Macaca mulatta: one gene and its partners. The main gene of each other region encodes a partner of the protein of the gene in region 3 in a complex. Links are inferred from orthologs where the notes say so. Each region holds a gene or a part of one and is shown on either strand. Other genes may lie near its edges.

What was found.
Region 1: the proteins of ARF1 (region 3) and IQSEC2 are in contact, whole or in part, in a crystal structure (PDB 6FAE), measured with the Homo sapiens proteins. The link is inferred for Macaca mulatta from reciprocal best matches to the Homo sapiens genes ARF1 and IQSEC2. Residues at the interface, in NP_001019397.1 of Homo sapiens: Arg19, Gly24, Leu25, Asp26, Ala27, Lys30, Thr31, Ile46, Pro47, Thr48, Ile49, Gly50, Phe51, Asn52, Val53, Glu54, Thr55, Thr64, Trp66, Asp67, Val68, Gly69, Gly70, Gln71, Lys73, Ile74, Pro76, Leu77, Trp78, His80; in NP_001104595.1 of Homo sapiens: Arg810, Gln811, Gln841, Arg845, Val846, Gln847, Gly848, Glu849, Ala850, Gln851, Val853, Glu854, Glu858, Asp879, Phe882, Ile883, Phe886, Ala887, Ile889, Leu890, Asn892, Thr893, Asp894, Tyr896, Ser897, Pro898, Ser899, Val900, Arg904, Met906.
Region 2: the proteins of ARF1 (region 3) and AP3B1 are in contact, whole or in part, in a cryo-EM structure (PDB 9C5B), measured with the Homo sapiens proteins. The link is inferred for Macaca mulatta from reciprocal best matches to the Homo sapiens genes ARF1 and AP3B1. Residues at the interface, in NP_001019397.1 of Homo sapiens: Glu17, Arg19, Tyr35, Ile46, Pro47, Thr48, Ile49, Gly50, Phe51, Asn52, Val53, Glu54, Lys73, Ile74, Leu77, His80, Tyr81, Asn84; in NP_003655.3 of Homo sapiens: Glu52, Asn54, Pro81, Val84, Lys85, Val87, Ala88, Asp111, Leu112, Leu114, Leu115, Ile117, Ser118, Thr119, Gln121, Arg122.
Region 4: the proteins of ARF1 (region 3) and AP1B1 are in contact, whole or in part, in a cryo-EM structure (PDB 7R4H), measured with the Homo sapiens proteins. The link is inferred for Macaca mulatta from reciprocal best matches to the Homo sapiens genes ARF1 and AP1B1. Residues at the interface, in NP_001019397.1 of Homo sapiens: Glu17, Met18, Tyr35, Ile46, Thr48, Ile49, Gly50, Phe51, Asn52, Val53, Glu54, Thr64, Trp66, Lys73, Leu77, Arg79, His80, Tyr81, Gln83, Asn84; in NP_001118.3 of Homo sapiens: Asn23, Asp25, Pro52, Asp53, Val55, Asn56, Met58, Gln59, Met83, Ile85, Met86, Ala87, Val88, Asn89, Thr90, Val92, Lys93, Tyr121.

What each region holds. Positions count from the first base shown.
Region 1 is NC_133426.1:53,078,297-53,085,654, reverse strand, and holds part of IQSEC2 (IQ motif and SEC7 domain-containing protein 2), read left to right. Parts: intron 1-360; coding exon 361-486; intron 487-3,001; coding exon 3,002-3,101; intron 3,102-3,990; coding exon 3,991-4,152; coding exon of another isoform or gene 4,153-4,160; exon of another isoform or gene 4,161-4,652; intron 4,653-5,773; coding exon 5,774-5,947; intron 5,948-6,438; coding exon 6,439-6,488; intron 6,489-7,085; coding exon 7,086-7,358. UniProt on the Homo sapiens protein: Is a guanine nucleotide exchange factor for the ARF GTP-binding proteins.
Region 2 is NC_133411.1:84,584,551-84,591,908, forward strand, and holds part of AP3B1 (AP-3 complex subunit beta-1), read right to left. Parts: intron 2,123-7,358; coding exon 2,027-2,122; intron 1,412-2,026; coding exon 1,251-1,411; intron 1-1,250. UniProt on the Homo sapiens protein: Subunit of non-clathrin- and clathrin-associated adaptor protein complex 3 (AP-3) that plays a role in protein sorting in the late-Golgi/trans-Golgi network (TGN) and/or endosomes.
Region 3 is NC_133406.1:85,832,566-85,840,592, forward strand, and holds the start of ARF1 (ADP-ribosylation factor 1), read left to right. Parts: upstream 1-3,494; 5' UTR 3,495-3,535; exon of another isoform or gene 3,536-3,620; intron 3,621-3,696; exon of another isoform or gene 3,697-4,215; coding exon of another isoform or gene 4,216-4,277; intron 4,278-8,027. UniProt on the Homo sapiens protein: Small GTPase involved in protein trafficking between different compartments. Modulates vesicle budding and uncoating within the Golgi complex. In its GTP-bound form, triggers the recruitment of coatomer proteins to the Golgi membrane.
Region 4 is NC_133415.1:22,214,073-22,221,430, forward strand, and holds part of AP1B1 (AP-1 complex subunit beta-1), read left to right. Parts: intron 1-582; coding exon 583-681; intron 682-1,190; coding exon 1,191-1,450; intron 1,451-2,096; coding exon 2,097-2,298; coding exon of another isoform or gene 2,299-2,325; intron 2,326-3,193; coding exon of another isoform or gene 3,194-3,214; intron 3,215-3,828; coding exon 3,829-3,972; intron 3,973-7,358. UniProt on the Homo sapiens protein: Subunit of clathrin-associated adaptor protein complex 1 that plays a role in protein sorting in the late-Golgi/trans-Golgi network (TGN) and/or endosomes.

The DNA of each region.
Region 1 (7,358 bases), on a different chromosome or scaffold from region 3:
TAGAGACGGGGTTTCATCATGTTGGCCAGGCTGGTCTCGAACCCCTGACCTCAGGTGATCCGCTCACCTCGGCCTCCCAAAGTGCTGGGATTACAGGCGTGAGCCATCATGCCTGGCTGGGATGGAAATTTGAAGGGGAGTTGAAATATGACCATGCAGAGCTGGACAAGAAAGATATTCCAGACAGAGGGACAAAGGCAAGGTAGAAGAAAAGTTTAGGCCTTAGTCGCTGATACCCCTTGTGTCAGAGTGATACACATGTATGAGAGGTAAACTTTTTTGCGGTTGAAACTTAAGGTGCCAGGAGGCCTGAAGCTGCGGGCTGGCCTTGCTGACACCTGTTTCTCCATGCCTGTCTAGGTCCTGTCTCTCCCTCACCGTCGACTGGTTTGCTGCTGCCAGCTCTACGAGGTGCCAGATCCAAACCGCCCCCAGAGGCTAGGGTTGCATCAGCGAGAGGTCTTCCTCTTCAATGATCTCCTTGTGGTATGAGCACTGTGGGGGAGGAGATGGAAGGGGGATAGTGAGGTTGACACCTGAGTCTGGTGTGAGCCATGTTGATGTTGGTGTGTGGTGTGGTGTGTGGAGTGTCGCAGGCGAGGTGTTCTGCCATGCCATCCGCATGGCCTCAGGCAAGGCCCAGGCCTTCTCTGCCCCTCCTTTTCCTCGCAGATTCATTTGGAGATAGTAACAGACGCACAGGGACAGAATATATGAGGACCAAAGGGATGACAGACTTACAACCTGGGAAGTGGTAGGAAATACCCTTGTCCACCTCAGTAGCCCATAGGGTTGTGTGAAGAGGGGTGAACCTGTGACCCCCAGGTCAGTCTAGAAATCTTCAGTAATCAAGATGCTTGTAGTGGGCCGGGCACCATGGCTCACGCCTACAGTCCCAGAGCTTTGGGAGGCCAAGGCAGTTTGAATCACTTGAGCCCAGGAGTTTTGAGACCAGCTTGGGCAACATGTCGAAACCCTGTCTCCACAAAAAATACGAAAATTAGCCAGGCATGGTGGTGTGTACCTGTTGTGTGTAGTCCCAGCTACTTGGGAGGCTGAGTCAGGAGGATCACTTGAGCCCGGGAGGCAGGGGTTGCAGTGTGCTGTGATTGTACCACTGCATTCCAACCTGGGCAACAGAGCCAGATCCTGTCTCAAAAAATTAAATAAATAAATAAATAAATACACAAATAATAAAAACAAAATTTGAAAAAGATGCTTGGGCCAGGCACGGTGGCTCATGCCTGTAATCCCAACGCTTTAGGAGGCCGAGGCGGGTGGATCACCTGAGGTCAGGAGTTCGAGACCAGCCTGGCCAACATGGAGAAACCTCGTCTCTACTAAAAATATAAAAAATTAGCTGGGCATAGTGGTTCGTGCCTGTAGTCCCAGCCACTGGGGAGGCTGAGGCAGGAGAATCGCTTGAACCCAGGAGGCGGAAGTTGCAGTGAGCTGAGATCTCTCCATTGCACTCCAGCCTGGGCGACAAGTGAAACTCTGTCTAAAAAAAAGAAAAAAAAAAAAAAAGATGCTTGAAGTGATTCTTAAAACTGAGCTCATTACAAATAGAGATGTTTGTCTTTTAGGGATGGGACTCTTAGGACTTTGCTGGTTGGAAGGGACTTTCAGAGTCCAGCTTCCTAGATGGCCCACTGGATGTATGACTGTGGGGACAGAAAGCCGCCTTCCTCTAAGGCAGCCAGTTGCCTTGTTAGGCAGCTCTGACTGCTAGAATCTGTCTCCCTGTGGGTTTCTTCCAACCATCTGCACTTAACCTTTGGCATCACAAAGAACAAGTGTTGTCCTTCTGCTCCAAGACAACTCGCCAGGGTTTGGAGGACAGTGATCCTGTTCCCACGGTGGTCTCTCCTTTAGAGCAGGGTTTCTCAGTCTCATCACTGTTGATATTTGAGGCTGGATAATTCTTTGCAGGGACCGTCCTGTGCACTGTAGGATGTTTAGCAGCACCCTGGTCTCTACCTATTAGGTGCTAGTAGCAACCCTTCGACCAAAAATGTCTCCAGATATTGCTCCATGTCCTCTGGGGGCAATATCACCCCCAGTTGAGGATTGCTGCTTTAGCGGAAGTATTTTCATGCTCCCTCTGAGCCTTAGTTTCCTCCTCTGTGAAATGGAGCTAACCCCTACCTCACAGGGTTGTTATGAGGATGAAATGAAAGAAGAGGTTATATGTGGAATCTGCCTTACCCCAAGGAGTACCTGGCCCACACAGTCAATGTGTAGACATCCCTCAGGTACTGAAACTGGTGTGCGTCCAGCTGTATGCCAGGCACTGGGTATGCCAGGATGAATCAGAATTAGTCCCTGTTCTCAGGGAGCTCACAGCCCAAAGGACCTAAAAAAGTGCTTTGCGTCATCATGCCATCCTGAAATCAAAACATTTCCTTTTATGAGCCACTTGCAGACCGCCTGAGGTGTTTGCAACCTGTGTTAGTTGAGTCCAGAGTGCCCAAGTACTCGACAAAGACGTTGGGTTGTTGAGAGGAAGACTTGTTAACTCTCTACATGGGTTCAGCAGAGATTGCCATTAAGTGCAGGCTCTGGTGAGGCCCGGTGACAGAACCCGACAACCAGACTCCTGCCTTCCAGTCCAGCAGGGGGTGATCACACACTCAGAGGACTAGCATAGCGCCTGACAAGGGAAAGGTACTGAATCATCATTCTGGAGCTCAGAAAAGGGGTTTACAAATCTCTGTGGGATGTTGGAGCAGGCTTCCTGGAGGGAGCAGGATTCAGTTAGTTCCTGGAAATGTGGTAAATGTCTGTGGTGCGTGGTCATTACATCAGGAACTTGCGTTTTCTTCCATGTCTCCCATTCTGTCCCTCAAGCTTCCATTCTCCCCAGCTTGTGGGCATGTGTATTTGTGTGTGTATGTCTGTTAATGGGGTGGGAGGGGAGGGTGGTTACCAGAAATAGGTGCCACGTGGAAATTCCCCACCCAAAACGCTGCCTCTTGTCTTTTTCCCACCCCTGCCAAAGGTCACCAAAATTTTCCAGAAGAAGAAGATCTTGGTGACGTACAGTTTCCGTCAGTCTTTCCCCCTCGTGGAAATGCACATGCAGCTCTTCCAGAATTCATGTGAGTCCCTTCTTGGATCCCAGCTCCCAAGAGTCTATGTCATGGCCCCCATGCTCACCCGTCATCTCTACCAGCTCCAGTTTTCGGAGTCCCTTACAACCAGGCTAAGGGTCTCCGAAGCACCTACTTGGTCCCAGGATGAGGGGCAGGCCAGGGTGGAGTATGACTCGGGTCTAGCCCCTGGTTAGCTCATAGTCTTGCAGAGAACCCCAGTGCATGTGTTCTCTGGTGGGCCAAAGAGATGGTGATCACGCTGTGCTCTAAAGGATGAACCAGGAGGAGCTTTGTTTCATGGTACTCTGGGCAGCAGTAGCAATGTGAGTTGAGGTAGAGGTGAGAAGGAAAGAGTTTCAAGACAGCAGTGCAGAGTTGTATGCCTTTACATCCTGCAGTACAGGAAGTAAGGGGGCCACAGCTACCAGGAGTTTGAGGGCTTTGGGGCAAAGGGGAGCTGCTAAATATGCTCAAATGGAGAAGAGGCATGATCAGAGTTAGACAGCAGAAAAATTATTTCATGGGCTAGGTATGGCGGCTCACACCTGTAATCCCAGCACTTTGGGAGGCCAAGGCAGGAGGATCGCTTGAGCCCAGGAATTCGTGACCAACCTGGGCAATATAGTAAGACCCCATCTCTACTGAAAATAAAAAAATTATCTGCACATATGGTGCGTGCCCATGGTCCCAGCTACTCAGGAGGCTTGAGGCAGAAGGATCACTTGAGCCCAGGAGTTCAAGGCCGCAGTGAGCCATAATGACACCAGTGCACTCCAGCCTGGGTGACAGAGAGATGTTATCTCAGGAAAAAAAGAACAGAAAAGAAAAATTATTTTAGGTATGAGCCACCTCCACCAATCCCAACAGAGGTGCCCAGTCTCCCCTTTCTCCACAGATTACCAGTTTGGGATCAAGTTGCTGTCTGCAGTACCTGGTGGGGAGCGAAAAGTCCTCATCATCTTCAATGCCCCCAGCCTCCAGGACCGGCTGCGCTTTACATCCGACCTGCGCGAATCCATTGCGGAGGTGCAGGAGATGGAGAAATACCGTGTGGAGTGTGAGTAGCCCAGCCACGTCTCCTCCCCCATCTCCTGAAACAGTACCCTGCAGAAACCAAGAATCCTATCCTCTGAGAATCTCAGAGTTGAGGGTTAGCTTGTCCAACCTTCCCATGCTCATTTCAAGAATTCTTCAGCCTCTGCTTGAATACCTTCAGTGACAAGGGGCTCATTACCTCCCAGCCCCATTATTATCCCAAACTCTAATTATGAGCCAACTATTCCTTCTAGTGAAAGGTATCAGGGAGAAGAATCAGAGTATTAGAGGTAGGACTGTAGTTTTAGGTCCCAGGTATGCTATTCGTTATCTGGGTGAACTGGAGCTAATTGCCTAACCCGCCTAGCCCCAGTTTCTTCCTACACGAATTTGGGGTAATGAAGTCTCCTTCACGGAGTCAAGGAGATGAAATGAGACAAGGTAGCCGAAATGTCCCAACACATCTTAGGCATTCAAAAAGTCTGTATTCCCTGTCCCACTCTCTCTCCTCCTCTGCCCACATATCAATTCCTGAGCTGAGTCCCAGTGGCCTATCCTCTCCAGGGGCCACACCAAGTCATTTTGATCATATATATATAATGGAAAATAGTGATTACATCTCATTCCTCCCGATGCCCTCCAAGTTTTCTCTTCTCCAGGCTAAGCAGTCACAGTTAAGTAACATGGTGTTAAGGAGAAAGAGGCAGGCAGACAGAAAAAGAGAGACGAGGCGGCGGACAGCTCCTTGGTGAGGCCTTCACAGCTCCAGGGCCACTCTACTCCTCAGCGAGGCAGGGATAGAAGTTTCAGTTCACCAGATCCTTTGAGACCCTGGGAAAATCCCGAGAGAGGGATTAGCAGCCCAAGACGAGGGGAGGCCAGTAGACACATGTTTCTGTGAGCTCTGTGGGGAGGTGGGGCTGTAAGGAGGCCGGAAGCACCCCAGCTCTGGATGTCGGCTCCGCCATTTCCAGCTGTATGACCCTGGGCAAGCTCTAAGACTTCTCGGATTCTCAGTTTCCTCCTCTGCACAATGTGGATGCTAATACTGACCTCAGAACTGTTGTGAGGATTGAGAGAGATCAAGTATGTGTAGCACCCAGCATACTGCCTGGCACTTAATAGAGGATTTGATTCCTGTCAGTTTCCTGCTCCTGCCCTTCCAGGAGCCCCTCTGCTCTGGAGCAAGGTATCTGAGAACTGACTGGACTCTGGAAAGATTGCCCTTTGCCATAGGCTAGAAGGGCCTTCCCGTCCTTACTGTGAACCATCTGCCATGAAGCTCTTTTTTGAAGGGCAGGGGTGCTTTGAGAGACCTGACTGCAAGAGGGCATGGGAGGGGAGAAGTCATAAGAGTGAAGGGAAGGGAAATGGAACAGGGAGAGCAGGCACCAAGAGGGATGAAGGGAAGGCTGAGCAGGAAGGGAGGGTGCAAGACGGGAGCTGGGCACTAAGGGTACTTCGGTGATGGAGCTGCAGTTTTGGGGGAGACAAGGGCTGGTCGTCCAAGGGGCAAAACAGGAAGCCTGGGGACAGAGGGAGGGAGGAGGGAGGAGGAAGGAGGACGGAGGGCTAGGGTCAGTCAGATGGGCTCTCACTCCTGTTCCTGACCTTTGCTCCCTGTCTCCCCGACTGCCACCCAGCGGAGCTGGAGAAGCAGAAAGGTATGATGCGGCCTAACGCCTCACAGCCTGGAGGGGCCAAGGACTCAGTGAATGGGACGATGGCCCGCAGTAGCCTGGAGGACACTTACGGGGCAGGCGATGGGCTCAAACGGGGCGCACTCAGCAGTTCCCTGCGAGACCTCTCTGATGCAGGTAAGCCCTCTGGGCCCCTGCCCTGGCTGGGGAGACACGGGACCAGGTGTCCTCTTTGCCTCCTGTCACTGGCCACCAGCCTTCCCTCCACCTGCCACACACACACGCACCCTGCCTTCACCCAGAGTCCTGGGCGCTGCGCCACAGGGGGCCTGGGAGCCAGGTCAGAGCAGGGGGAGCCCAGCGTTTGGGCCAGGGCATGTGAAGTGGGGCCACAGTCTTGGTGCCTCTCTCTTGCTGCTCCACCTCTCCTCCTCTTCTCCCTCTTCTGTCTCTCCTATACCTCCACTCCTCCTTCTCCATCTTTTCCTCCTCTCTCTCCTCCTTCTCCACCTCTCCTCCTCCCCACCTCCCCCTCTTCAATGGGGGAAAGGGATAATGGGGTGTCTGTCCCCGGGAGGGGCCCAGGCCTGGTGCCCAGCTCTGGAGCCCAGCAGGGTAGGGAGGGGGGGTTGCTGCTCTGACGCTGGGCTCCTTGCTTGTGGGTGCAGGGAAGCGGGGGCGGCGTAACAGCGTGGGATCGCTGGACAGCACCATCGAAGTAAGTGCCAGCTCCTGCCCCACTCGTCCTCTGCATGAGCCCTGCCCCGGCCATGGAGACCCAGAGGAGGAGGGGACCTGTTGCTCCCCCCTTCCCTGCTGAGAACCGTGCGGCTGCCTCTCCCAGCCAACCACTCTCTCCATCTGTCCTCAACTCTGTCTGTCCTCATTCTGCCTGTCTCTCAGCCTGTCTTCCACTCTCCCGTGCCCCCTCTCAACCCCAGGGCCGACGGCGAGTAGGGATGCCCTTGGAGTTGGGCCACGAGAAGCTCTTACCTCCAAGTCCTGCTCTTTGACCCTGGGCGAGTCACTCTGCCTCTCTGGGCCTAACCTTTTCCCTGCCTGCAAAATGGGGATGAGGAGGAGGTACTGCTAATTTCTCCTCTCCCAGCTGAGGCTCAGATGAGATAGTGGATGTGACAGCCGAGCTTTGCAAGCTGGGGAGCTCCACATATGAGTACAGGACTGTGATTTGGTTTTTATTACAACTTGGGGTTCGCTATGTCCCCAGCTCCAGCCCTCAGGGACAGGGGTGGAATTTAGGGCTGGGGGTTTAGGGCATCTAGCCTGGCCTGACTTCCCCCCTCCCCCCTTCCAGGGGTCTGTTATTAGCAGTCCACGCCCTCACCAGAGGATGCCACCTCCGCCCCCACCCCCGCCGCCAGAGGAGTACAAGAGCCAGAGGCCCGTCTCCAACTCCTCATCCTTCCTGGGCTCCCTATTTGGAAGCAAGCGGGGCAAGGGGCCCTTCCAGATGCCACCACCGCCAACAGGCCAGGCCTCTGCCTCCTCTTCATCTGCTTCTTCCACGCACCACCACCACCACCACCATCACCACGGCCATAGCCACGGTGGCCTGGGGGTGCTGCCT
Region 2 (7,358 bases), on a different chromosome or scaffold from region 3:
ACTAGCCGGGCGCGGTGGCGGGCGCCTGTAGTCCCACCTACTCGGGAGGCTGAGGCAGGAGAATGGCGGGAACCCGGGAGGCGGAGCTTGCAGTGAGCTGAGATCCGGCCACTGCACTTCAGCCTGGGCGGCAGAGCGAGACTCCGTCTCAAAAAAAAAAAAAAAAAAAAAACAACTTTGTCTGACAGTTAACACAGGAAAAAAAGTTTTCACTTTTTACAAACACATATATTTATTATTAAGCATTATAATTATCTGGACAAACTTTTTAATTCTTTCAAATTTCAGCTTAAGTCTTCCTTCTCAAAGCAGTATTTCACTACCACACCCATCTCATTACATCTTTACTTTCTGGTAACAAAATATGATAGGTCCCTGTCCTATCAAAGACATTGCTAGTGTACCTTTGTATATACATATGTATCAAGTGCTAATATCTTATTCAGTTATAGATTGCCTTTAATTATGGCATGTCTTTGATTTTCTTCCGCAAATACATGATATGCTATTCATAAGTAAGTGCCACATCCTCTACTGTTTTCATACATCTAAATACACCTAGCATGATACTGTGAATACAACATCAGAAACAGAAGAGAGTCTCAAAAAGCTTGAGGAATAAATGACAGCCGAAAATAATACCAAATTGTTGTAGATAATTCTATTTGGACAGTAAATTTTCCACAGAGATCACGGCATTGTGCAATATTGCATAACATTTCTAAAATATCACACAGATATGGTATAGCACTATATTTCAAATCACTACACTTTTTTAAATTACTTAATAAAATAGCTCTGGAAAAGAATTAGACAAGGAAGGGAGCAGCAGGAACAACAATAGAAGGGAAAACAAATATAAGTGAGTTGAGAGGATCACACGCTTAAGATTCTACCGTAAACAGGAAAAACAAAATCTCAATTTTCTAATAATACAAGCATATGTGTACATGAGATAGACTATACAGATGAGAATTCAAATTCTGATTATTCTTAAGTTGTAAAATCTATAAATTATCACAGGCTCTAACAGCCTCACAAATAAAAACCTGCATAGCATCTCTACAGCCAAAACAAAATTAAAGATGTGTAAGGAACGTTTGCAGCCGGGAAAATACCATCATACGGTCACTGGATTTACTTAGTATAAGAATGGGCTAGCTAAAAGAGCTACTAAAATAAGCCTCTGTGGTCTACAACATTCCATGTAACATTAGAGATCCTTTGTATATTGTTAACAATGCACCTACCTGTATAATTTTTGTATTGCATGGGCTGCATTCTTCCTAACATATGGTGATAAGTCAGCAGAAGCTTCCTTAATAGCAAGCATCATGATAGGTACAATAATTGGCACTCTAATACTTGACAGAACTCTCAAAGCACTTGCACGAATTAGTTGGTTTGGGTCCTAAAAACAGTGCAAAAATATTCACCAAATTTTCAACTTTACAATATTTCAAAGACATCTTTAAGATGTAGTTAATAGGTGCTTAAAGGGTGTTATAGAACAATAGCAAAAGAAAGCTACTTAATTTAAAATGAACAACTAGTATATGGGAAGGGGAAAAAGAGACAGAAATAAATAAATGTTTACTTCTTTAATAATGTTTTAAATAAAAGTAATAGTTATAATTCTCGTTGGTCATTTATTACTAAATATGCTGGGTTTTTATACTTAAATAATAATAAAATGCTGCAGGTCATCAATTTCATGTTTAAAAATGTCTGATAACCCCCTTCGCACACTTTCAAAAACTAGTATAATGATAAACAGTTCTTTGAAGCATGAAAATAATTATATTGAATATAAACAAACATACAGAAGCTGCAACATATACAGCAAGGTTTCAGTTGGTTGTATAAATTATTTTCTAAGTGTATTGAGTAGGCACTATAGGAGGCCTTTAACTCTTTCAAGACACTACTGTGCTATTTAGTGGATTATTGCTCCACTTCTTTAAATGACACACTTTCAACTCTGCAGAAACCTTGTAGCTATTTGCCTACCCACTCCATTATTTACCTTCAGAGCTCGCTGAAAAGTGCTTATGGACAGGAGGGCAAGATCCTGCTGTTCTTCAGCATATCGAACCAGGTAAACATATACCAACTTCTTGATCTGTTAAAAAACAATCATTTATTTGTAGCCAGAGTGAAAATTTAAAACTCAGTATTTGCTATACCAAAATCCATGCTCAGTTTTTCTCACGTAAATAACTGAATCTGGTCACATCTTAGATTGTAAAATAAAAATAATATTTTGTGGGATAATAAGTAGCAACAGAAAAAGTCTTTAAAGTAATCATTTTAACAGTCCAGTCCACAATAGCAATAGCCTATAAAAGTGCCCCTTCCTCTTGAAGGGAATAAAAAATCCCTCAGCAGATCTCCTATAAGAATATTAACTAGGCCGGGTGCGGTGGCTCAAGCCTGTAATCCCAGCACTTTGGGAGGCCGAGACGGGCGGATCACGAGGTCAGGAGATCGAGACCATCCTGGCTAACACGGTGAAACCCCGTCTCTACTAAAAAATACAAAAAACTAGCCAGGTGAGGTGGCGGGCGCCTGTAGTCCCAGCTGCTCGGGAGGCTGAGGCAGGAGAATGGTGTAAACCCGGGAGGCGGAGCTTGCAGTGAGCTGAGATCTGGCCACTGCACCCCCAGCCTGGGCGACAGAGCGAGATTCCGTCTCAAAAAAAAAAAAAAAGAATATTAACTAAATTGTATAAATATTTTCAAAATGAGGGATGAAAATAAAAGAAAGAAGCTAGGCATGGTGTGCACGCTTGTAGTCCCAGCTATGCAGGAGGCCGAGGCAGGAGGATCACTTGAGCCCAGGACTTAGAGGCCATCCTGGGCAACATAGAGAGACCCTAGCTCTTTAAAAAATAATAAGAAAGAATTTAGGCCCCGACCACTAACTATATGTTACGGGAACTTGTTTCCTCATCTGTTAAAAGAGTCCAGAGCCCTAACTCTGATTTTTATGTTAATACTCACATTTCAACATGCATTACATGATATTTTCAGTCCAGTAAGAATAATGTGTGACTATTAATACCAATTTAACGTAATAAAAATTCAGAAATATTGGATGTGTTCTGAAAACAGTTTTTTGGTTTTTTTTTTTTTCTGAGACACTGTCTTGCTTTGTCGCACAGGGTACAGTGCAATAGCACAATCACGGCTCACTGCAGCCTGAACCTCCTGGCCTCATGCCATCCTCCCACCTCAGCCTCTCCAGTAACTGGAACTACAGGGTTGCATCACCACACCCAGATTTTTTTTTAGTATTTTATAGAGACAGGGTCTCCCTGTGTTGCCTACCCAGGCTGGTCTCGAACTCCTGGGTTTAACTGGTCCTCCCACCTCAGCCTCTCAAAGCACAGGGGTTACAGGCATGAGCCATTGTGCCCAGTCTTGAAAACAATTTTTACAGGCAATTTAATCACTGAGTTTACACAAAATTATGAACAGAAAAAAACAAAAACTAGAATTTGAGTTGAAATGTATCCATTGTTTCCTTCTAGCACTATTTATAACCTGTATCTACCTTCTCAAATATCTTCACATCCCTGATTATCCTTCAAAGATACCAGCATAGTATATACCTAAAAGGTATGTACTTAGCCAGGCACAGTGGCTCACGCCTGTAATCCCAGCACTTTGGGACGCTGAGGCAGGCAGACTGCCTGAGTCCAGGACTTCAAGACCAGCCTGGGCAACATGGTGAAATCCCATCTCTAGTTAAAAAAAAAAAAAAATTAGCCAGGCATGGTGGCATGTGCCTGTAGTCCCAGATACTTGGGAGGCTGAGATGGAAGAGTCACCTGAGCCCGGGAGGTCAAAGCTACAGTGAGGCAGGATTGTGCCACTGCACTCCAGCCTGGGCGACTAGACAGAGACTCTGTCTCAAAAATTTTAAAAATTAAAAAAAAAAATTTTTTTTTTAATTTATATACTCAAAGAACACAGGAAATGAGGAAAAAAGTTGGCGATCGCTGGAATTGGTGCTGGAAATATAAAAACAGTACTATACTGGATCGTATTTCGAGTCATACTGATCAATCTGGACTACTTTAGAGACAACTGTCATGACCTTCCTTCCTTGTACCCTAATTTCTCATGAAACATAACAGCTTTAAGTTCCTCTGCCATCCTGTTTGCTCCTTCCTAAACTCACTCCAATTTTTTTCAGCGTGGCACTATAAACTGCAAATAAAGTCTAAACAGAGCGAACTAGACAAGAACTTGCTCCAGATGAGGTACTTCCACCGATACAACTAATTCTTCATTAAAACCATACACCTTTTCCAAATGTACTGCTGACCAAATCAAAATCAAACTATCCTCATGGAATTTTTTAAAAATTCCTTTAAATGAAAGGCAAAATCTTCCATTTATCTAAAGAAATTGTCAACGATTTAGATTCAACGCATCTTGGCACCCTGTTAAGATAATTTGATATGATAATTTCATAATCCAACCTATTTCTCAATTCATAAGTACAAATGAAAACTTAATGAGAAAACAAACTTTGTACATCTTCATCGTTGATAAAAATGTTAAACACAACCATTTTAAGTTTATATCAATCCATTCATCTATACTATATGGACTGAGTTATAAAGGAAATGAAAATCTTTTTGCCAATTACTCTTCAATGTTGAATGGCTCCACAAAACCTTAAAACAAAATCTAAAGCTCTTAACCTAGTACTCAATACAGTTTATAATCTGTTCGAAACCTCCTTTTATAGTCAAACAGAAACAGCCCCAAATATAACTTGCACTTTTCTCTCAATCTCCACTCAGGTTATCCTAAGTTATCCCGCGTCCCCAGGTTCCACTTACTAAAATCTTCCACGAGAGCAAAAATTAAACAATAAAGAGTCCTAGTAGACGAACAGTAAACAAATGACAGTTCATCCATGTAACACTATACTATTCATCCACTATACAAAATTAAATAAATCTGTAGGACATTGAAAATATGTCCTTGTGGCCAGGCACGGTGGATCACACCTGTAATCCCAGCACTTTGGGAGGCTGAGATGTGTGGATCACCTGAGGTCAGGAGTTGGAGGCCAGCATGGCCAACATGGTGAAACCCCATCTCTACTAAAAATACAAAAAACTTAGCTGGGCATACTGGCCCATGCCTGTAATCCCAGCTACTCGGAAGGCCGAGGCAGGAGAATCATTGGAACCCGGGAGGCGGAGGTTGCAGCAAGCCAAGATCACGCCACTGCACCCCAGCCTGGGTGACAAAGCAAGGCACCATCTGAAAAAAAGAAAAGGAAAGAAAGGAAAATACATCCTTGAAAAAGGCTTTTTTTTTTTTTAAAGACAGAGTCTCGCTCTGTCACCAAGGCTGGAGTACAGTGGCGCAATCTCAGGGCTCACCGCAACCTCCGCCTCCCAGGTTCAAGCAATTCGCAATTCTCCTGCCTCAGCTTCCCGAGTAGCTGGGATTACAGGCACGCACCAACACGCCCAGCTAACTTTTGTATTCTTAGTAGAGATGGGGTTTCAACAATTTGGCCAGGCTGGTCTTGAACTCCTGACCTCAGGTGATCCACCTGCCTCAGCCTCCCAAAGTGCTGGGATTATAGGTGTGAGCCACCGCACCTGGCCTAAAATTTTTTAAAGGTGTAAAACAGTATGCATTGTATGATCTCACTTCTGTATTAAAAAAAATAGATGCCCACATACTGTATTTTATGCAGTCTAAGATAGACCACCAGTTGTAAAACATACCATTATGTTATGGGCCACAAAGGAAAGAACAACAACAAACGAACAGAAAACACCACCTATCGTAATCACCACCAGTTGTTAAGTTAAATCCCAACTGCAGAAACTTTAAAATAGCAAACATATGTCTTAGAATGGACATAATATAGTAATAATAGCAAATCCTTATATGTAGCATTAACTACATGTCAGACACTGTTCTAAATGTCTTACTTAAATTAACTCATTTTATCCTCACAACTCAACAAACAAGTATTTATTCTTACTTTACAGATAAGAAAATGAAACACAGACAGGGTAAGCAAGTTGACCAAAGTACTGTATCTATTAAATAGAAGAGCTAAGATTCAAGCCAAGTAAGCACAAAATTCAGAAATCTATACAATAAAATGTTAATAGTCACTATCTCTGTGCGATGGTATTAACCAGTGACTTTCACTCTTTACATCTTTCCATACTATGTTAAAAGGAATATTAATTACTTTGGGTTCAGATAAAATAATATAGGTATTTCACAACAGGGGTGAATCTCATCTTTCCAGATGGCCTTCAAAACAAAATAATAGTGCTGTGATTCTTATAATACTTTAAATTCTTTAATTATAAAAAAATTTCAAATTGGTAATATTTTTAAGTTCCCACATTCCTCAGAGAGACGCATTTTTCTGTAGCCTTGGCAACATGTAGCCACAACTGTTTTAAACCTGTTCAACAGAGCAATAAAAAGGCACCTGAATGAACAAGTTTTCTCAAGTCAACCAATCTGTGACAGCCTCTTGCTTGTGAAAGTTAGCCAGTCAGGAACAACTGCACTCCCATACACCCACCTCTGAGTGCCAATCAATCAAGAGCAGTCTCACCCACATGACCACACATCTACAGATGATATCAAACCACTTAGGACCCTGAAAGTCCATGAATCCCTGAAGACTGTCCTTCCCAATAATCCACAATAATATCAGCCATCTCTATGTCCAGAGAAACTGTGCCTAAAAAGCATAGTTGTCCCTTGCTATAGTAAGCAATAGTCTTGTTTCAGATATCATCCTTCAAAACAACCTACTGAAAAGTTCCAAGACTAGTTCACTGAGGCCTCATATAGCCTTCATTTATGTTTTATTCTGTCTTTTTTTTTTTTTCAGACAGAGTCTTGTTCTGTCTCCTAGGCTGGAGTGCAGTGGCACGATCTCAGCTCACTGCATCCTCTGCCTCCTGGGTTCAAACGATTTTCCTGCCTCAGCCTCCCGAGTAGCTGGGACCACAGGTGCACGCCACCACGCCCAGCTAATTTTTGTATTTTTAGTAGAGACGGGGTTTTGCCATGCTGGTCAGACTGCTCATGAACTCCTGATCTCAAGTGATCCACCCGCCTTGGCCTCCCAAAGTGCTGGGATTACTGGCGTGAGCCACCACACCCAGCAGCTTTCATCTATGTTTTTCAATTGCTAACATTACAATTACAAAATTCAGGAAATGTAACATCAATGCAATCCTATTATCTAATAAATAATCCCTATTTAGAATTTCTCAATAACATCCTATATTTATAGTATTTTTCCTGATCTGGGATCATGCATCATATTTAAGTTTTCATGTCTCC
Region 3 (8,027 bases):
CCACCCTGAGCTGGGAGGTGGGGGCCTCTCCCAGGGCCCATGCAGTCAGAACAGCCATAATAATTCCTGTGGCATGCTCCAGGTCCTGTAGTGTGACCAGCCAGAGGGTAGGCTTTGGGTATGGGTCTGGGGGAGAAGGAAACAGGGCCAGGCAGAGGGGACAGCAAGGTCCTATCCCCGCCTCACCCCCCAGAGACGTCTTTAAGGGTATGAATTCTTCCTGCCACAGGTCTTAGCGGTTGAGTGTTTGGACTAAGTCCTGAGCGTGACGAGAAAGTACTGATTCTGGTGGAGGCAGTGCCACCCCGCAGAATGCCCTGGCATCTTGCAGTATGATTCTCCAGCTTTAGCCCATCTATAGTCTCCCAACAGAGAGAGCCGGCAGAGCAACCATGTGGGAGACAGAGTGGGGCAGGAAATCCAGAGAGGAGAACTCTGTCCTGGGATGCCTGGTGTAGTAGTGAGCTGCCCATCACTGGAGGAATCCAAGATAACATTGCAGTCTGCAGAGGCACCAAAGCGCTTGTTCCCCAAGAGGGAGGGCAGGGCTGGGGAAAGACTAAAGGTGTTGGCAATAAGCAGACTTGGGCATGGAGTAGTCAAGCTTCAGAGGGGTTTCATCCTAGCTGGGTGACATCAGGTACATGTGAGACCTCTCTGAACATCTGTGACCTGGCTCAAATGCCGCACACTTCATAGTCCTGCACTCAGAGGTTGACCAAAGTGCCTGCCAGGCCTGAGGTGGGCTGGGGTCCCCTTCACCTAGCCACAATGGCTGCCTACTAGGTCTCCAACATGGGTATTCCCGCTTCTTTGCTCCAGACAGCTCATCTGTCCCTCTAGCCGCATTCCCTAGGAGGCCAGCCCGTTCCGTTGTTTGGCATCCGTGTCTCTGACCTGGTTCTCAGGTGCAGCCACCCCCAGAAGAGAGAAGCCCAGCCCCACCTGAGCTGGCATCTTTGAGACTGACAGCGGAGGCAGCCACAAAGGCTGGAGGGTCCCTGTCCAGCCTGGCCCCCAATGCCCTCCCTCTAGCCAGCTCATCCCACCCCTCTTGGCTAAACCTCATCTGATCCCAGGGACCTCAGAGTAGAGAGAAAGGGATCCCTACTCCCTAGGCAGTGTTGGGAGAGCACCAGGGCCTCAATTTCCCCAGGAAATCACTGCCTGACACTTCTTAGCTCCCTAGTGGGTCTCCTTCCAGGGGCAGAAATCTGGGTGTGACTACCTGGGCTCCCCTGCGCCTGTCTGGCTTGAAGACATCACTTTTGTCCTGGTGGTGGTGGGGAGGCCAAACCAGGAGCACAGAATCAGCGGAAAGGGACTTTTTAAAAAATTATTATTATTTGCAGACAGGGTCTCACTCTGCCACCCAGGCTGGAGTGCAGTGGCAGAGTCCTAGGTCACTGTAACCTTGAACTTCTGGGCCCAAGCGATCCTCCCACCTCAGCCTCCCAAGTAGCTGGAACTACAGGTGTGTGTCACCATACCTGGCTATCTTTGTAAAATTTTTGTAGAGATGGGGTCTCATCATGTTGCCCAGGCTGGGGAAGGTACATTTCTTAACCCTAGGGCTGTGTATACAGAAATCCATTTTATTACTTTTTAAACTGTGCATGTATCTGACATACACTCTTTCCTGTCTGCATTTTTTCACATTTAAAATAAAATATTTTAAAGGGGCCAGGCACGGGGGCTCACACCTGTAATCCCAGCACTTTGGGAGGCCAAGGCGGGTGGATCACCTGAGATCAGGAGTTCGAGACCAGCCATGGCCAACATGGTGAAACCCTGTCTCCACTAAAAATACAAAAATTAGTTGGGCGTAGGGGCAGGCGCCTGCAATCCCAGCTACTTGGGAGGCTGAGGCAGCAGAATTGCTTGAACCCAGGAGGCGGAGATTGCAGTGAGCCAAGATTGTGTCACTGCACTCCAGTATGGGCGACAGAGCAAGATTCCATCTCAAAAAAAGAAAAAAAAAAATAGAGTATTTTAAAGGAAGGGGAAGCAGGCTCTGGTTCCCACACAATCCCCACTCAGTGACACTGGAGCCACCCCTGGCCATGCTCTGCCATCAGAGAACCAAAGCCAGGTCCCTTCAGCCCTAAAGTGGCCATAACCACATGTATCCCCCATGAAATGTCCGAGCATGGTCCAGTTCTGGCTGAGCGGGAGAGGCAGCACAATCAGAAGGCTCCACAGGCATCCACACCCCTCCCTGGGGCTTTCCAAGAGTATCTGAGATGCCTGTAGGGTGGGAGGGAGACATCCTTCCCCTAAACAGACAACCTGCCGCAGCTTCACAGAGGTGAGATTTCAGAGGGGAGCCCCAGGCAGAAAAAGGGACTGAATTTGGGGGCAGGAGGGTCACCACTTCTGGGGTCCTTCGAAGCCCCCGCAGGTGCAGCCCTGGGGGAGAACTCCGACTATCGCAGCCTGCAGTGGCAGTGAGGATGCCCTGCCCAAGGGGCAAGCAAGGTAGGTGATGGCGGCAGCAAAGGGGCGCAGGAGGCCTGGGCCAGGCCCAGTGACCCCACCCCTCAGGCCCTGCCCCCGGGCCTCCCCCTGGACAAATCAGGTTGATTCCCGACCTCCAGAATACCCAGAGAACTGTGCTGCACGGACGCTCTCCCACAAGCCCAATCCCTCACAGCTGCACAAGGGAAGAGGCAAGAAGACCTGAGGGTGGTGGGCAGAGCCAGGCCTCTGTTCCCTTCTGACCAATCCAGGAGGGCTTCCTGGGAGCGGGGTCTCCTCCGCCTCAACTGGATCTCAGCTGAAAGGCCAGCTCATTAGAGACCGCTGTGACCTCCCTTCTGGGCACCACCCCCACAGCCCCGGCCTCCCCCCGGGGTCCCCAGGCCACCTCCTCCTTTGCTTCATCTGTAGCCAACTCCCCGGCATGAGCCCAGGCATGAGCCCGCGCGAGTCACTGCGGCCGCCGGGGCGCCGAGGCCAGTGCGGGGACATAGCAGGCCTCCCTCCTTCGGACCTTCCGCCGAGGCCCCGCGAGTGCCACAGGTTTCCACAGGGCCGGGGCACACGGACCCGCGCAGCCTGGGAGCCAGGGACCCCAATCCCAGCGAAGGGGCGCCTCGCACCCCAGTCCTCACGCGGTCCCCGAGGGCTCGCGGTGACTGCCGGGTCGGGGAGGAGGAGGGTGGCAACCCGGCCCCGCCGCTCCAGTTGCTGCAGCAGCCCCCCGGGCCTCAGTCTCCGAATCTGCCAAACGGGCGTGTGGCAGCCACAAGGTGTCTTTTCGGAAGACTCACAGGCGCAGGCGCAGACGGGTGCGCACCCCTAAGGCGCGCGCGAGCTAGGACCTCGGCCCGGGGCTGGGTGTCCCCGGCCCCGCCCCCTGCAGCCCTTCTGGAGCCAGCGCGCCTGCGTCGCGGGCGCACGGGGGGCGGAGCTCCCGGCGTCTCCGCCTCTTACCCGACGTTCCCCGCGCCCGCAGGCGCTGACGTGGCCGCCGTCAGAGCCGCCATCTTGTGGGAGCGAAACCAACGCCTGGCTCGAAGCAGCAGCTTCTGAGGTGAGGGCGAGGGGCGCGGGTCGGTGTGGGCCGCACACAAGTTGGAGCCGGCGGGGTCTGGGGACTGGCCTCGGGGCGACTTGAGGTTCGCGAAGGGCACCTCGATCCCGGCGGCGGCGGCGGCGACAGGGCCGGGCCGGGGGCGGACGAGGACGGGCCGGGCTGAGGCTGGGGAGTCGGGGCTGGGAGGGCGGGCGGGTCGGTGAGCTCCTCGCGCCCCTCACAGGTTCCCGGAGTCGCCCGCGGCCCCTTGTCCTCCTCTGCCAGTCCCTGCCCCCGCCCGTCGCCCGGAAGTCAGCCGGGACGCCAGGCTCTTCTCCAGGAAACCTGGGCTTCCTGCTTCCCTCACCTCTGCCCCTCACGTTTCCCGAGGCCGCCCGCGCGTGGAGGGTTGGGGTTAGCGGTCTCGGGGGCCGGTGGGGGTTGTGGGGCCTCCTCCACCCGAGTACAGGCTAGCGAGCGGCATCCGGGCGGACCGCTGCCTCGGGGACCGGGAAACTGAGGCTCAGGCGGCCCCAAGACACCGTCAAGGTCACGTAGGTGGTGGGGGCTTGCACCTTCGCCTCCCGACTCCATCCAGTTCGTGTTTCTTCTGAGGAAGGCACTGGGTCAGGGGCGGTGAGAGCGAGCGGGCGGGCAGTGGACAGGGACCCTGCGCCTTTCCCTGTCTGCTGAACGGAATGCGTGGACCTCCGGGGAAGCCCAGAGTGCCTCCCTTCACAACAGTGAGACGCGATTTGGGGTCAGTATGAAGTCTCCGGTGGCTTCCAGAGGGCCGGTCGATGTTCGCTTTAACTCCAGGGTGGTTTCCTTGACGTTGTCGGCAGTAGATAAGAAGGCCTCTTTTGAGCTGGTGAATCTTTAACTTGCCTGCGGAACGACCTGCTCGTAGACTCTAGGCCGCAGAGGCCGGCCCCAGCGCTCTCTCGGGGCACAGCCTGGGTGGTTACGGCTTGTGAGATTGGGTCTGTACAGCCGTGCGCACCTAGAGTGTTAGATAACCATTCCGACGGCACTTCCTGGCGGACTCCCTTTCCGTCCAGGCAGCCAGTTGCTGCTTTGCAGGAATTGAGCAGAAATGCGCTCGGAATCGCGGGCAGAAAAAGAAGGGAGGTCGGAGTCTTTGGATGGTCCCCGAAGTCGCCGCCTAGTTTAGAGCTGTAGAGTTGGTGCCACTGCCCCTATTGGAGTGGGCAGTTGTATTTCTTGTTTCAGAACTAGTGGTCAGCAGTTTTCTCTGCCGCCGGTTGTTGCAAGGCTGGTGGTTCTGGCGTTTTCCGCAGTGTGTTGGGAGGAGTGTGAGATGCCGAGGTGCGGTTGTGTGCGGCCCCTGTGGCCCTCTGCTTTTGCGTTAGCCATTGTCTAACACGTGTGACTGCATGGATGATGTCCTCATTTAATTTGAATTTTCACCAGCACTACCAAGGTAGCCAGAACCATAAGGTCCTGAAATGCCGTACTATTAGCTGGGTCCAAAATTGAGAAGAATTGAGTAGTATAAATGTTAGTATACACATCTGATTGGCCACATTGTTAGAGGTGTGTTGTCCACGTTTTCACATGTTGGTAGACCGGAGAATATCTGTCACTTGTCTTTAGGTGTATCTTGTTGAAAATAAATCCAAATCATTGCAGCAGTAGGAATATGCTGTTGCCTGTCAGGCAGTTTTTCAGATTTGCTAGTTGAAAAAGATTTGAAACAGTTGGTTTGGACAACAGCTGAGTCACAGAATGACTGTGAGTGAAAAGCAAAAACTGGTTCTGTGCCCCTCACAGTTCTGATTTTGTACATCATGTAGTCTAGCTATGCGCTGTACCTCTTGCACAATATGGAGAGGACATTCAGACATCTTCACCTGCTCATCTGCCCCTACAGACTGGACAGGCTTGAAACTATAGCTTCGAAGATGCATTTGGCCTTTCATTTTTCACTTCAGTAAAATTTAATATGGACTGTCAGCTGCTGCAGTGATCATAGAAGTAGACCTAACTAAGAGAAAAAAACCTGTTGTGCAAGTTCACACGCAAAGTATATGACTGTGGTTTCAGAGAGTTGAAGCAGTTTTTTCTAGATTCTTCAAATTAAATGTCTCATTGGTGTATTTAAACCAGCTCTTACTCACAGGCCATGCTCACCAAGCTTTTGTACACACTTCTTCCTGAGCTGTGACCATTCTCTTGAGCAAGAGGCTGCAGCCAGCCTGGGCTGGCAGGCCCATACTGTCTCTCATAGGCATTCTGTCCTCTCCCCCTGACCTTTCACCTCGGTAAACTCAAGAGGGTGAAAGGAAGTAGAGTGCACTGTCAGAGGTAATTGGGAGAGAAACAGGAAAAGGCCTTGCAGTGGGGATCTTAAATTATGAGAACTTGTGTTTTCTGTGTTGTGCCTGCTCCTCATTGGTGTGGTTGGTTGGTAGGGGTATCCTGCCTGTAGCATCTGAAGTGGTCTTTTGGAAAAGGTTTAGCCCCTTCATGTTGGGATTCCAGGATTTGCCTTCATCCTCAGGTTCGTATTTTCCTGTGGTTGTTATAAACTCTTTAAGGCATAGTTGCACTTATCACCTTACAGCTGTGCAGGTGCCCAGCACCGTCTTGGAAGGTAGTTTCACATTCTCAGGTGGGTCAGATGACCTTGTTAGCAACTTGACAGACATGTCCTGGATGTTTTTTGTTCCCAAGAGGCTCTCAGGTCCTCCCCCAGGGTCCTGTCACTCAACCATCTACAGGGATGAGAAGACAGTAAGGCTGGCTGATTAGCCATAATGTCCTTGACTAATCCTGGTTTCCTGGTTCTCACACAGTGGTAACAAGGGCTTGCAGCCGGTTGTCAGCCAACAGACTGGGAAAGGTGGTGCTTCTTACAGGCCCTGATAACAGGAAAAGCCTAAATGACATCAAGAGAAGAGACAGGGAAAGCATAAAAGGCAGATTTTCACAGGCACAGCAATTGAGAATGATTCTGTTTAGAAGGCAGACGTTCTCCCACACCCCGGAGGCCCAGGGCTCACTGTTAGTGTACAGCATGAAGTGAACGGGAGACTTGATTCAGTCCATGAACATTTCAGGAAGTTAGAAGTCTGTAGTTGTGGATTGCAAAATACATATCTGGCCTGCCTCCCATTTCCTGCCATACAACTACTAAAATACTTGGAATCTCCAAAGTGATGATGTCTTTTTGTACCCTAATGAGTTGACCAGTGACGGGCAGCCCCTACGAAACTTCAGGGTAGGGCTAGTCACGGGGCCAAGGTAGGATTAGAGGGTTTCAGCCCCACCCTCCAATTTCCCCAGAGTGGAGAGGGACTGAAGATTGAGCTGGTCACCAGTAGCCAATAATTTAATCAATCACACTAATATCATGAAGCCACACTTTTGCCTTCAGTAGTTAACAGCATCTACAGCCCCGTGTTTCCACATTTGTACAAAGGAATGTTCAGACTGAACCACACTTAAGTACAATTCTGAAATAGCATGAAATTCCTTGTTGATGGGAAATACCCAAAAGGCCTGCCTGGGCTTTCAGAGAGCTTCCAGAAAGCTGAATTCATGGAGGTTCCTGGAGGGTGGCACGCCCAGGAGGGCAAGGTAGCTCCGTGTCTCTTCCCTCATACCCCACCCTATGCATCTCTCCATCTGTATCCTTTGTAATATCCTTTATGAAAAACCAGTAAACTTTAGTGTTTTTCTGAGTTCTGTGAGCCACTCTAGCAAATTAATTGAACCCAAGGGGAAGGAGTTATGGGAACCCTGATTTATAGATGGTTGTCCAGAAGCACAGGTAAAATAACCTGGAGCTTGTGATTGCCTCCAGGTGGACAGTGTCAGGATTGAACTGAATTAAAGGACACCTATCCGGTGTCTGCTGCAGAACGCAGAACTGGTTGCTTACTTGGCATGTGTGGAGAAACCCCTGCTCATGTGGTGTGAGAAGCGACCTGTGTTATAAGAGTGTGTGAGAAACTGAGTTTGGGTTTTCCTGTGTCCTCAAAATAGTGTGTTTTGAAAATCTTCTAGGCAGAATGTATTAAAATAGTTTTTACTCCCTGAAGGGATGCCAGCAAGCTAGAAAGATTCATTTCCAAAGGACTTCCAGTGGTAGCATGGCTAGATATGAGACATCTTTCCATTTGTGTCACACAGCAAGTTATTTTTGCAGTACCATATACACTATACGGGAAACTTTTAAGTATTTTATAGGTTTGATTTAGGTATAAATGGTCAAGAGGACTATTGCTAGATATCATCTAGACTTATCCTGAGGATTGGGAATGCAGGCGGTTAGATGTGCCTGTGCTTCGTACCTTCTGTAGATGGGAATGCAGTTGCTCACTCACTAATCAAATTTATTGATTTATATTTAAAATACTATGAATACATCTGGCAGTTTTGGTGGTGACATATTCCTTAAAATATTTGTATTAACCAGGCACTGTGGCTCACACCTGTGTAGTGCAATCTACTTGGGAGGCTGAGGCAGGAGAGTGGATCACTT
Region 4 (7,358 bases), on a different chromosome or scaffold from region 3:
GGGTCTGAAGGTGGGGTTGGCATGAGATCTGAAGGGTAAGGATGGTTGGCCAGGATGAGGGCAGCTTTGGGTATGTCCAGGTATGCAGCAGGGGCCAGTGGAGGGCCACCAGGAATGGTTCCCACCCTCTGGTAGAAGCACAGGTTCTTGATGGCAGGCTCTGTGGGCCCTGCTGCCCCAGTCCCCTGGGACTCCATGGGACTGTCGCCACTTGTTGACAGGTAGTCCCAATAAGAAGCATACCAGCCACACGTGAGCTTCTCATAGTCCTGTGAAGTCTAGAGCTCCAACAGGTTTCTAGAACCCTAGGGCTGGGCAGCGGCCCCTGGCCTGCTTGGGTTTGCTGAATAGTCCAGTGCTCAGCTCCTTCCTGAGTGAGTGATGCCAAAGTCTGGCTGCTCAGCGGCACCAACACCTGTGGTGGCCCTTTGCGTGTGTGCCGTGACAGCCCCAAACCTAGAAGAGCTGTGTTTGGCTTCCAGGGACTTTGAACACCCTTTTCCTCTTCAAGCCTTTTTAGTCTCCCGCTGTCCCCATGTAAGGCCCACCTTCCTCCTCGCCACCGCTGTTCCCTCCCTGCAGGTCCAGCTGCAGCTGCTGACAGGCATTGTGAAACTCTTTCTGAAGAAGCCAACAGAGACCCAGGAGCTGGTGCAGCAGGTCCTCAGTTTGGCCACTCAGGTGGGTGCCCCAACCGCCCCACTGTGCCCAGCACAACCCTCACTCAAGCAGGGGAACTTTTGTCCCAGGAACTAGACCTGGAAGCCAGGCCCACTCCTGAGACAGGTATCCTGTGGGTGGGACTGGCTTCCAGCCCCAGAGTAACCCAAGCTCCCTGCCTTCAGGGAGCTTAGAACACAAAGTGCAGTGAGGTCAAGTAGTGAAGTTGAGACAAACTAGACAGAGGAGGAGAGCCTGCGGAAGCCTGAGGGTGTGCGTTGGGGGCAGGAAGGGCAGGCCACAGTGGCCAGTTGGGAGTAGAGACAGGCACAGCCAGGCTGGAGTAGAGCACCATGGAGAATGAGCCCGGTGCCGGGGTATGGCCCTGTAGGTGGTGTAGGGACAGGCTCATGGGAGTGCTGTCCCCATTGGCCAGCCCTGTGCCACACCTGGCTCATGGCTACAGGAAAACCTCCTCCCTTCTCACCTGGCTGCTCTAAGTTTCACGGGCTTCTCCTCACCCCCACAAGGACTCAGATAACCCGGACCTGCGGGACCGTGGCTACATCTACTGGCGCTTGCTTTCCACGGACCCGGTGGCAGCCAAGGAGGTGGTGTTGGCTGAGAAGCCACTCATCTCTGAAGAGACGGACCTCATCGAGCCCACACTGCTGGACGAGCTTATCTGCTACATCGGCACACTGGCCTCTGTCTACCATAAGCCTCCCAGTGCCTTTGTGGAGGGGGGCCGGGGCGTCGTGCACAAGAGCCTACCACCCCGCACGGCCTCGTGAGTGAGACTGGCCAGTAGGCCTGAGCCTCCACACCTGCTTTCCCAGTTCAGCAGCACAGGCACTCAGGCCTGGTGTGTTGTCCCCTGGCAAGGCCTGAGTCTGAGGAAAACTGACAACCTTTTCTCAGCTATTTATTATACATGAGGTATTTGCTAGATGACCTCATTCCATCCTAACAACAGCTCTGAGAGCAAATGTCCCCATTCTTCAGGTGGGAACAAGAGACAAGGAGAGCTTGAGGGACTGGTCCAGGATCTCACAACTAGCAGAGCTGGGACTCAGACCGGTTCTGTCTCATTCCAGAGCCCTGTCTGTGCCTCCTCCTCTGCTTTTCCCAGGTGGTTGGTGTGACCTGGTGGCACCATCCTAGGGCACTGGCTTCCAGTTTTCTCCTTGGCATGGGCTGAGGGCTAGAAGCAGGCGGCCCTCTCCCTTCACTCATCCTCACAGAGGGCCTGAAAGATGGACCTGCTGTGGGAATGGGGAAGCAGTGGGGCCGTGTGGACAGCGCTGTTGGGGACAGGGAGGAGACTCAGTGCCTGTCCTGAGGGAGGCACCTGGAGGTTGGGGTCTCTTTGACCTTCCTGAGACATCCTGATGCCTCCGCCCTACTGACCTTCTCTCTCTCCTGTGTCCCGGCAGGAGTGAGAGCGCAGAGAGCCCTGAGACAGCTCCTGCCGGAGCACCTCCTGGGGAGCAGCCAGATGTCATCCCCGCCCAGGGCGACCTGCTGGGTGACCTCCTCAACCTGGACCTCGGCCCCCCAGTGAGCGGCCCACCCCTGACCACCTCCTCAGTGCAGATGGGAGCTGTGGACCTTCTTGGCGGTGGCCTTGACAGCCTGGTATGTCATGGGTGCCCTCTGGATGATGTTGATAATGATCCTCAGAGGAGCAGTCACTGAACGCCCCTCCATGCCAGGCACCAGCTGAGTGCCTCAGGTACATTATATTGAGCTCTTACCATTTACCCTCGGAGGTGATTGTGTAGCTCCCTACTTATGATGAGAAAACCAAGGTTTAGAGAGGCCAGGCAGCCTTCCCTCCAAGGTCGCACAGCCCCTGAGTGGCAGACAGGATTCCACTCCCTTGTTGGACCTTCGAGTCCCAGGAGATCCTGGGCAGGGAGGCCCATCCTAGCCCTTGCCCTGATCCTGGCATCATAGTCACCTTTGCCCTGTTAGGCTAGGGTGTTCCTAGCTTTGAGGAATCAGACTTGTGTCCACTTAGCTTCATGCTGCCCCAGCTGGGAACAGAAGCCCAGCCAGGCCTATTTGAGAGGGCATAGGAGGCCGGGGAGAGAGGGGAATGGGAAGACAGTAGGGAGGGGAGTGGTGAGACTAACGTGGGTATCTCCCTGGGGCTTCCTCAGGCAACTGGCAGGGCCAGGTGCTGGGGGTGGCTGAGCCTCTTCATTTGACTGTGCTCGACTCAGGTCCGCACGGTGGCAGCATGGGGGCAGGAGACTGGCAATTAGCGCTGCTAGGGTGAGGCAGGAAGGGCTGTGGTGCAGAACGGGTGCTGGGGTAAATGTGTGGGGTAGTGCCTTTCATAGAGACAGGGTCTGGGCCTCTCATAGGCCCCGACACAGCCTCACACCACTCTCCTCTCAGATGGAGCTACTGTTAACTAATCTCCTCCCTCTTTCCCTTCTCTCTCTTGTTCCTCTGTCTTCCTTCCTGGCTTTTTCTCTCTGCATGTGGCTGCCTGTTCTCTTCACCTGCCTGCTTCTGCTTGGAGATGGGGGATGAGCCTGAAGGGGTATGGTTCAACCCTTGCGTCACCCAGCCTTCATCCTTGCTCCTCCCGAAAGCGCTGGCCCAGCATCCCAAGGGGCGGGTGATGTCAAAGCAGCCCCCGCCGGCTGAGCCCCTGCCTTGGTCCCGCGTCCTGGCAGTCTCTGTCTTGACCAGCTGGCATTCGGCTACCACTAGGCCCCATAGCCATGGATTCTTGCCCAGTCCTCACCACCCCATGACGCATCACCTTGTCATCCCAGGGATTGCCAGCCCTCAGTCCCACAACCCCTCTCTAATGTCCTGGAGGGAGAGCACCCGTCTGCATAGCAGGTCTCCACCCAGCCGTGTGTCTTGGGACCTCCTTTTATCCATGGGCTGAGTGTCAATTTGGGAGTGTCCCCAGCCCTTTCCCAGAGGTTACTTCTAAGGCTCAAGGCTTACAGGGCACGGGAGGGCTCAGCCTCTCTACTCCACCCACCTCTCTCTGTCTTGTTTCTGTAATTTCGAGTTGATATGGAGGCTGTCCTGCCCCCCACCCCCAGTGTATTCTAAAGAGCCAGGTGGCTCTACTCATTCCCAGCCCTTGATGTCCTTGCCTCTTGATGCCTGCCTCTGACTCTTTCCCTCCCTTTCCAGATTGGGGGCACCAATTTCGTGGCACCTCCAACAGCAGCAGTACCAGCCAGTCTTGGAGCACCCATCGGCAGTGGCCTGAGTGACCTCTTTGACCTAACCAGTGGCGTGGGCACCCTGTCAGGATCATATGTAGCCCCCAAAGCAGTAAGTCACTTGTCTTCTCTCTTGGCAGGAGCAGAGAGAAGTTATAGAGATTGGCATGTGGGCTCCTTTAAATGGCCTCGGCTGTGGAATTGGCTCAGGCCAGCGCTGATGAGGGAAGCTGGGGGCCACGGGGGCACCGAGGAAAAGGAGCTAAGTCAGGCTTGGTGGATGCCTAGGCAGGCTTTCCGGAGGAGTCGCAGGACCTCATTAGCTGAACAGAAGCGGGTAGGGGCTCCAGACCAAGGGAACAGCCTGTGGTAAGGCCTGGAGGGAAGGGAGACCCTGGCCTCTGTCAGGGAATCAGCAGAGGCCTGTCAGGTGGGAGCAGTAGTTCTCAGTGCCATCAGACCCAGCACCCCTTAGTCATCATCGACATTTTACATTGTCACTGTTCCTCTCCTTAAATGCAATTGGTGGGCTGTGTAACCTACCTACACACAGCATTCCAAAAATACTCAGATGCTTTCACTGCATGGAGGAGACATAAAAGGAAGAGAATACAAGTGTATGTATCAATGTTATAAGCGTCTGGGCACGCCTGCCCACTCACCCCGGAAGATATGAAGTTGCCAGGTGTTTGCTGCAGGGCAAAGTCACTGTGACTGTGGCAACCACAGTCTGGGTGTTTGTAGCCTGGACCCCATGAGTGGTTTGGCCAGTGGTGCCATTTGTTTCTGAAGTGGTCGCTGACTCCCACTAAGGTTCGGAGTAAGATAAACAACAGGCTTCCCTTGATTTTCCTGAGAATTGTGTTCCTGGAAGTCTCAGGATATGTTGAAACCATGCAGAAAATACTGGAAGGATGCAGGACAGTTGCTTGTTGTGGGGTGGTTGTCCCCATGGTAGGACGTCCAGCATCCCTGACTCCAGCCCACTATGTTATGCCACCTGAAGATGCCCACTGTGCCACCTAGGGCACACCCCCAAGACTCCTGGCTAGACTAGGGATCAGCAAAGGAAGAAGCTGGCAAGGCTGGTGGGCCAGGCTGAGCGTTTCTTCTTGATCCTGGCACAGCCGGAGGCTTTGGAAAGGTTTAAGCAAAGATATGAACCAGTCTGATTTGCACTTGAGAAAGATGGCTGCGTGTGCAGGGAAGGGGTGGGGCAGAAGCACCGGCCCCAGGGGATTCTGCAGCAGGGAGGAGGAGTGCTGTGGCAGCTGGACCACGAGGGCTCTTGTGGGTGGAAGCAGTGGCCAGACTTGAGAGCTCCCTGGGAGGGAGGAGCGGGGCTGAGGGAAGGAGAGCTGAGTTCAGGGTGTGAGAACATGCGGGCTGGCACTGAGGAGAGCTCAGGGTGGGCCATGTTGTCAGTGTCAAGGAAGTTGCCAGAGGGGACCAACCTGGCCTGATCCCCTCACCACACTCAGAAGTTGTGTTTGCCAGAGCCCCCCTCTCTCTTCTGAGGTCTCCGCCCCAAAACAGGATACAGTTGGGGGTCGGGGCAGTGACAGCTCTGTCATGACTAGGGAGCCATGAGCCCCCACCTCCCTACCCCCTGAGCTGGCTTTCCCCACCATATGCCAGCTGCACCTGCAGTGGTGGTGACTGGAGGCCCTGGCAGGGTCTGGGCACTGAGAGGTCCACAGCAGATAGCAGCTCTGACACTAGTAGCCACACACTTCCTTGCAGGGATGGCACAGCATTCCACAGCCACTGCCAGCACGTCCTCCTCCCAGCAGCCCTTTGTGGCTCTTCCTCCTATTTCGTGGTTGAGAAATCCAAGTGCTTTTGCCTAAGGTCACATAGCTGGTGACAGAGTCTGGAAGTGAAAGCAAGTGACACTAAAGCCTCTGCTCCAGACCCCTACATGATGGTGGCCCCACAGAGTGTGAGAACAACCTGTGCCCCTGCCTTCATGCGTGGGGTGTCAGGACCAGCAGGGCCAAGGGAACGTAGGATCGTGGCATAGCGTACAGCATGTGCGGTTGACTTACTACCTGGATTGGCTGCACCAAGGCATGAGGCCAGAAGCCCAATATCACAGGCACACAAAGCAGGACTAAGGGACAGAGAACAGCAAAGACTCCTGTAACCCTGTGCGTGCCAGCCTTTGCCAGGCACTGCAGAGCTGCCAGGAAAAGAAAGCCTGGAGCTGGCACTAGGCTTGTGAGTTCATCATATATATATATATATATTTATTTATATTTTTTCAAGACAGAGTTTTGCTCTTGTCACCCAGGCAGGAGTGCCATGGTGCAATCTCAGCTCACTGCAACCTCTGCCTCCGGGGTTCAAGTGATTCTCCTGCCTCAGCCTCCCGAGTAACTGGGATTACAGGTGCCCGCCACCATGCCTGGCTAAGTTTTTGTATTTTTAGTAGAGACGAGGTTTCACCCTGTTGGCCAGGCTGGTCTTGAACTCCTGACCTCAGGTGATCCACCTGCCTCGGCCTCCCAAAGTGCTGGGATTACAGGTGTGAGCCACGGTGCCCAGCCATGTGTTTGTCTTACCAGTGTTATCCCTGCTTTGTCTTCCTGAAGGGTCAGATGAGTGTATCCAGCAGAGCGTGCTGGAAAGGAGAGGGGAGGGGATCTCCTAGTCAGGAGTCATCAGGCCAGGCTACCTGGAGGAGGAGTTTTTCTGCCCCAGGCAGGACTTTCCCCACTGCCTCAGTCATGGGAGAGTTCTAAGGTGTGGGTGCCCTCTCCCTTCAGAATCAGTTGGTAGGTATCCACATCTTCCTAACAGTGCTGTGGCCACCTGGAATTGTTCATTCCTCACGCATTTCCACACCCTGCCTAGGGGGTTAAAGACATTGGCCAGGTCAGGCGCGGTGGCTCATGCCTGTAATCCCAGCACTTTAGGAGGCTGAGGTGGGCGGATCACGAGGTCAGGAGATCGAGACCATCCTGGCTAACACGGTGAAACCCCATCTCTACTAAAAATGCAAAAATTAGCCGGGCATGATGGCAGGTGCCTGTAGTCCCAGGTACTGGGGAGGCTGAGGCAGGAGAATCTCGTGAACCCGGCAGGCGGAGCTTACAGTGAGCCAAGATGGTACCACTGCACTCCAGCCTGGGTGACAGAGCGAGACTCTGTCTCAAAAAAAAAAAAAAAAAGACTTTGGCCAACCCTGCTGGTCTAAGGGAATGAGGCTGTCTGTGTATAAGAACTTTTGAGTTCCTCACCATTTGGCTCAGCTGGTGGTGACAGTTCATTGGTTCATCCAGTAAAGACTGAAGATTATTCTGTTAGGACCTGTGTGAGACACCATGAACCCACAGTGACCAAGAGCAGTGCGATCCCCATCCCCAGCCATGGGCGACTGAGAGAGGGCCAGGGGAAAGGAGGCCTGACAGGGGCCCCGGGGTAGTCATCCATGAGGGAGCCATGCCCCCATCAGGTCCAGCTGGCCTCTGTGTACTCTCTCAGCCACCGTGGCAC